Solanum lycopersicum: one gene and its partner. Each later gene encodes a partner of the first gene's protein in a complex. Links are inferred from orthologs where the notes say so. Each region holds a gene or a part of one and is shown in the gene's direction. Other genes may lie near its edges.

Region 1 (3,516 bases):
TGCACAAAAAGGATAAATAAAATTACTAAATATGTGGCAAATAATGATTAAAAATATACATTTTTGGCCTTACATCAGTTACTGAAACTCTCCCTTAAAAACTTTAAGTTCTTCGCATTAGGCATGCGATATGATGCCATGACACTGCATTGGACTCGATTTCGTCATTCCATTTTGATACTTTAACCACTTAACACTTGAATATAGTTTCCATCTTGCACCATGCACATATGTTAACATGTCCCAATGGTCCCATCCACCACGCGTGGGTCCAAACATACATCGGGGTTATTTTAATCAGGTTATTCGGTTCATTATTGACCCGAATCAACCTTTACCATGGGTTTACATATAAGTTGTTTTCAATATCATGTCAAGATTTTGGCCGCTTGATATTTCAAATGGGTAAAATGTGGGTTTCTACCTATATTTAACCCGTAATTGTATGGGTGAAAATGGGCTTGCCATGTATGGGTTTAATTCGTAAGTTGCAGACACGACATATGTGTTCCATACAACCTATTTCAGTTATCCCTCAACTTGCTGCACTTCAACACTTCTAAATCGTCATTGAAGATGCTTGCTTCAACAGTTCAACCTGTTTGATCCTCTCAATCTCATCATAGTGATTCTCTGCATCTAGTGGGACCAAACTTCTTTTTGTTGTTTTTGAGGGGGATTAAATTTTTTTGAAACAAATGTATAACTTATATCGGTGTTGTCAAAAAGCGGTTCATGCAAAAAAGGTCATAGATCCTTTGGGGATTTAATTGCAAATTAATTGTGGGCTTAATTGAAAAAAATACAAATTGAAGAAAACTACGACTATGTATATGTAGTCCGAGATTAATAATCGTAAGCATGGATAATAAATATATGGACAATGAAATTTTGAAAAATATAACAATAATGTGAAATACCAGTTGTTTAGTGTCACATCTTTAGGATTGCACTCATTAGCAAGGAAAATTATGCCCCGGAGCTTTGATGACGACACTGAAGTGCCCATAAAGCGTGTGTGTGACTAAGCGCTCGACATGTTCTATGCTTGTAGCTTAAGAGCGCCTTTGAGAACACTGACATATACATAATGTGTAGTAGTCTAGTAGATGGCTTAGTAAAGTCATTGAATAAGAAGCACGTGTTCTACTTGTGAGGAGACAATGGTGGCTCAATTATTCCTAAATTATCTAGTAATTTTTTTACTATGCTCCATTATTTTATTAATACTGTATATGCTTGATTTTTGTTAAAAAAAAATAATCACCTTTACTTTATAAATAAGATATATTAATTATCCTATAGATTAGACCACAACAACAATATACCATGTATAATCCCACCAGTGGACTATGAAGAGGGTAGAATGCACATAGACCTTTGGAGGTAGATAGGTTGTTTCCGGTAGACCGTCAGCATAGATAAGTCCATAATGTTAATTAGAAACAGAAAGTATCATAATATTTAAGAAGTACAAAAAAGAGCATAGATTGATAATTCAGGTAGTTAAATAGGTATTTGGACAGTGGAAAATCTAAAATATCTGGTTGAGTGTGCTATCAACATAGTTAAGTGACCTTTTGAGTTTTGAGTCATAGACTCATTAATTAATTCATATTTTCTTAGTTTTTTTAGCAGGAACTTTTAAGCAGAAAATGAATTTTAATAATGTTTGAGATTTTTTGAAAAAATGAAGATACAAAGAAATGGGTTAGACTCTTTTTTTACCCAACTCAACCCGCCTATTGCCACCCCTAATTGTTAGTGTGTAATATGTATTATGAAGCTTTGCTTTCCTTTTCGATGAATCTTTCTGCAGATGATGGATCCTTCCATTATTTAGTTGAGCAGTTCTCTTTTGTTAACTTGTTTGAACTTAAAAAATATTCACCCTTTACTGTAGGGAAGAGGCACAGGCAAGCGATCTACTCCGGTTGGATCTCTGTCAAAGCAACAAAAACATGATATTGCAAAAGATGAAAAATCTGGGAAAACTGTTGGAAGAGCATCTGGAGCTGCTTCTGGTGATGTTAGTTATCCTTCTGAGAGCAGAGCAAGTGGGAGTGTTAATGTTTCTACTACAGTTTCAGGGAACGGTAGCATGTTTTCTGCTGCACCTAAAGGTGCAGCTCCATTGACGAGATTGTTAGATCCTTCAAACGAATCTAATGCTGAACATACAACTACTAAATCTGCTGATCTGAGGGTTTCTGCTGGAAAAGATGATGTCACTGAAAGTTCTGATGTGCATAAGGAGTCCACATTGCGTCTGGTTCATTCGCCTAGACAAGATGCTTCTAAAGCTAATGAAAAAGTACAGAAGAGATCTATTCCCGCAGAAGAGCTTGATAGACTGAACAAACGCCGGAAAGGTGAAATTGACGGTAGAGATACTGAATGTGCTGATGCTCGTTCATCGGAGAAAGAATGGTTAATAGATGCACGAGCTGCAGATAAACTTCATCCAGCAGATTATGATAAACATGGATCTGATGATCAAATATTGAACCGAGCCTCTGAAAAGCCTCTTGATAGATCAAAAGAAAAGGGTGGTGAAAGACCTGAGAGAGACCCCAGAGAGCGAGGGGACCGTCCTGATAGGTCTCGCGGTGATGATGCATTTGAAAAATCAAGAGATAGATCAACGGAGCGGCATGGAAGAGAACGTTCAATTGAGAGAGTACATGAGAGAGTTGCTGATAGGAACTTTGATAGGTTGAGTAAGGATGAAAGGATCAAAGATGATAGGAGCAAGCTGCGACATAATGAAGCATCTGTAGAAAAATCTCTTACAGATGATCGGTTTCATAATCAAAATTTGCCTCCACCTCCACCACTGCCTCCTCATCTGGTCCCGCAATCCATTAGTGCAGGCAGGAGAGAGGACGATTCTGATAGACGTTTTGGAACTGCCAGACATAGTCAAAGACTTTCTCCAAGGCATGATGAGAGAGAGAGACGGCGATCAGAAGAGAATAACGCATTGTTGCAGGATGATTTGAAGAGAAGGAGAGAAGATGATTTTCGAGATAGAAAGCGGGAAGAGAGAGAACTTTCAATTAAGGTAAGCCTGATTCACATTTCATGCATAATTGTTCAAGATAGAGTAGACAGTGAAATTGTTGATGTTATTACGTCATGCCCACAATTATTATTGAACTTTAGGAAAGTCACTGGAACTGAATATATACTATTATGATAGTTTAGAATTCCATCATCCTTGAGACTGATAGGTATACACATTTTCTGTCTGTATAAAAATAGATATTCTACTCACTCGTTGCATGTTATTCTTAATTCTGACATTCTAAATTTGGGAGTTCCATTTGAAGTTATTCCCATTTGCTCATACTTTTTTGAAAAAAAATCTTTGATCGTTATTCAAAGTGTGTTTTGGCTATATATCTGAGATCTAAATTTAATGTTTCTAAGCAAGCATCAAAATGGAAGTGAAGCCTCGTGAAAGAAACAACATGTTGTATTGTCAGTCTGTCTCCTTTCAAGGGGCCATTTCCT
Region 2 (4,041 bases), on another chromosome or scaffold:
TAAAATAATTTATTTTTAACTGTAATTTCTTTGAATTCTGTCAAAAGAGACTATAGCTCAGCTAAAACTTTAAGATTAACACTAATGAATTTTTTTAAAATTATTTTATAATTATAATATTTGAATAAACTGATGAATATTTTCGATTAATTGCATGAAGTATTTAATTTTTTCAATTATATGTCCTTTGAAACATATCATGAATAATTGTGTTAAATTATTCGCTATCAAAATATCATACTAGTTTTATATTATTACTCAAATATAATCTAAAAAACCCACTTTTAATTCATTACAAATTAAATATACTTAATCAAATATCACAATGACTAAAATTATGAATAATTGAGGGAATAAAAGTAGAATTATCTCTAATAGTACTCTTAAATGGATGAGATTGGACTTTCTCCACGTATTTAGGAAGTTGATTGAACCTTTTTATTTTAATATTTCTTATATTCTTTAAATTGCTTTTTTGAATAGATGGGCAAGCTACTTATTTTATTTTATATCTAATCCCCAATCACATCAATTAATCTCCAGAAAAAGTGGGAAATAAGAAGTATTATTTGTTCAAACTTTTGAATTAAATTTAAAATTATTGAAAATGTTGTCTTGCTCAAAAGTCATAATTGTACAGTTTTGACAATTATTTGATAGGTACTAATATTTTGTTATATGTATTTTTCAATTAATAGACCAAATAAATAAATAATATAAAAGATATCATTTTGATGAACACTTTGACTTATGCTTGTGAAAAAATAAAATATTGTTAAAAAAGTAAATATATGCCAGTACACACAAACATGTACAATAAATATTTCTACGATTAATTCCTTCACAATTATTAGATGAAAAAAATATCAAAGATTAATTTCCACCATTTATATTATTATTTCTATAAAATATATGAATTGTTTCTTTATAACAAAAGAATTATAATTACGGTAAATCAATGGATCTTAAATGTTATACACCAAAATAATTTATTAAAGTTGAACACTTCTAGCTCTTGATCATTGTTATAACACAAAATATGTAACTCGTTTAAATTTAAACCTTGAAATTCCCGTTTAGATGATTTTTTTTTTCTGTTTAAAAGAGGGCTCACCTATTTCTCATGAGGCAGTTTCAACAAAAATAACTACTAGCGACCATGTGTTAATTACCAAAAATGCTCAATTTCGACAGTATAAAGGACTATTTTAGACCATTCTCAAACTTAAAGGACTAGTCTATCATTTTCTAAACAGGGTTGGCATGAAACGACAATATTGTGTGTCGTTTTGTTCGTCTTCTACACAAGCAAAAAAAATATTCAGAGAAGTAAACGGAGCAAACAAGCAGAAGAGTAATGGCGGAAACAATACCCTTCAAAAATCTTCATAGCAGAGAGTACCAGGGACACAAGAAGAAGGTTTCTCTCTCTAAAACTATTCCTTCACTTCATTGTTAACAATACAACCCTAATTTTGCTTTTCCTTTTTATGAACTCTCTGATTAGATGAATTGACTATGTGATACTTTATCTTCTCTGTTTTTTTAAAAAAAATTAAAGGTGCATTCGGTGGCATGGAACTGCAGTGGCACGAAATTAGCTTCAGGTTCTGTGGATCAAACAGCTCGTATTTGGCAAATTGAGCCTCATGGTCATGTAAGCTTCATGAGCTCATCTTTTTTGTTTTCAGTTAAGTTTTAATGCTGAAAAAAGGATAGCTTTTTGTTATTGCTCTGATTTTTAAATGTTCTACTGAAGTGGTGGGAAACTGGGTGTTGTAAATAAACTGAAAAAAGGATAGCTTTTTATGATATATGCATGAACTTAGGCACCTGAGATTTTCTCTAGAGTTAAGAAGCTGGTCTCTCACTTTAGTTGTTTCTGCCAAAGTCTAGTTCTATGTGGTATGAGTTAAGGAACCTATGATAGTAATGCCTGTTGCAGTTAGGTTTAAATTTTGTTGTTACTTATCAAAGGTGGGGTAAAGTAAGCGTAACCTCACTTGTGGGAGGTCATACGAATTCGATGTTATAGATACACAGAGAGGTTTGAATTGGGAGAATGGGTAAAAAGATGCAGAAATGCTCCAGAGTTGTACAGGATGGTAAAATATCGCATGTCCCAGCTCAACGCACTTGGTGTGGAGTTATAGAAAAGCTGGAAAGGTAGCAAAGGAACATTTGGGATGCGGCGGATGGGACAAAGAAGTTTCACCTAGTGGGACGGGAGACCGTGACATCTCCTAAACAGTGGTGAGGACTTGGGGTTAAAGACTTGAAGGTTTTTAACAAAGTCCTCTTGGATAAATGGCTTTGGAGATTCGAGATGGAGGAAGAAGCTTTATGGGAGGGGTGATAGCGGACAAATATGGAGTTATGGAAGGAAGATGGAGAACAAATGTGGTTACCTTCCGAGTTTGGCATGTAGAAGAATATAATGAAGGGGTGGGAAGCCTTTAACAAAAACATTTTCTTTTAAGTTTGGGGTTGGGAGGAGACTAGTTTTTGGGGGTCAAAAGTGGTGCAGTGATTTGGTTAAAGAATGATTTCTTGGTGTTGTATAGCATTTCTGGGCAAAGGGAGCTGTCTGTTCAGCAAATTAGGGGGTGGGACCTTCTGGGATTTCCGAAATTGGGAGATGACCGATCTTCAAAGCTTTCTAGTTTTATACCATAAGCAATGCAAACCAGTAGATAGACCTGATGCTTTGAGTTGGGAGTTGGTGAATAAAAAAGTGTTCTCTATTAAGTCCTATAAAAGCTTCCTGTTAGGGTGGAAGTTAGTTTTCTGTATGACTCGGTATGGACACCTAAGGTGCTGAAGAAGGTGTATTTCTTCTTGTGGTTAGCTACTAAAGGGGTGATATTGACGGTGAAGAATCTTAGGGAATGAAAGGTGGTGGGCATAAGTTGTTGTTTCTTGTGTCAAGAGGCAGGAGAGGACATGATCAATATTTTGCTACATTGCAAAACATCTCGAGGTTATGGTAGGATATCTTTAGATGGTTTGATATTTCTTGGGCAATCCCAAATGTCTGTTGAAGTGTTGATGTTCAGTTGGAAGAGTGGAGTTAGGATAAGAAGACACAAGGTGTGAATGTTACTCCTCTTGCAGTAATGTGGGTCATTTGGAAAGAGAGAAATAGGAGAGCTATTGAAAGGGTGGAGAATTGGAGATTAGCTTTGCTCAATTGAGGAGTAGTCTCCGATCCCTTATTTTCTTTTGGTGTAATTTTTGTTTGTATAGAGGATTGAGGTGTCTTTTGGAGAACCATGTTTGGTAGGTTTCTCCTTTTGTGGTATACTCCTTTTATATGACCAAGATAGCCTTGTTATTATCAATTAAATCTTTTACTTGGTCATAGACCAGATAAATTTTTACTTTGTTAGTAGATCGAGTGCTCCATAACTCTATATCATTTGTCATTTCTCTTTATCAAGGCTATAAACATACTTTTATCTTGTTTCATAGTCGCAAAAATCCCAAGTTCCTCAACTTTGGAATTTGCATGAAGATTGAATGATATTTTGCTTCTGTTGCTCTGTATCAATACTATAAATGTACTTTTATCTTGTTTCATAGTCACAGATCCCAAGTTCCTCAACTTTGGAACTTGCATGAAGATTGTAGTATATTTTGCCTTTGCTTGCAAAAACCTGAACAATTAATAGCTTGCCACCATAAAACTACACTAAAATGATTGCGCCCTATCTATGTTTTCAATATTCTAGTCTTTTCTCATTCTTGAGAGGTGGAGTATAGAACCTCTTATGTCTGCATACACTCCAAGTCTCTGATAGCTCTTTTGCAGGGAAAGGTAAAAGATGTTGAATTAAAGGGTCACACCGACAGTGTGGACCAGTTATGTTGGGATCCAAAACATGCAGAATTGATAGCTACAGCATCTGGTGACAAGACAGTTCGATTATGGGATGCCCGTAGTAAGTTTATATTATTTTGCACCAGCAATAAGCTGCCAAAGTACTGTATGAAATAATGAGTTGGAATTTAAAGAATGTAATGCTATAAGAGCCTATGTCT

What was found.
Region 2: THO complex subunit 2 (region 1) and THO complex subunit 3 share a complex: the UniProt entries of both Arabidopsis thaliana proteins name them as parts of the THO complex. The link is inferred for Solanum lycopersicum from reciprocal best matches to the Arabidopsis thaliana genes THO2 and TEX1.

The regions. Positions count from the first base shown.
Region 1 is NC_090804.1:20,333,490-20,337,005, reverse strand, and holds part of THO complex subunit 2, read left to right. Parts: intron 1-1,903; coding exon 1,904-3,064; intron 3,065-3,516. UniProt on the Arabidopsis thaliana protein: Acts as a component of the THO subcomplex of the TREX complex which is thought to couple mRNA transcription, processing and nuclear export.
Region 2 is NC_090806.1:70,055,566-70,059,606, reverse strand, and holds the start of THO complex subunit 3, read left to right. Parts: upstream 1-1,240; 5' UTR 1,241-1,357; coding exon 1,358-1,420; intron 1,421-1,561; coding exon 1,562-1,657; intron 1,658-3,811; coding exon 3,812-3,941; intron 3,942-4,041. UniProt on the Arabidopsis thaliana protein: Acts as a component of the THO subcomplex of the TREX complex which is thought to couple mRNA transcription, processing and nuclear export. Contributes to the integrity of the endogenous trans-acting small interfering RNA (ta-siRNA) pathway.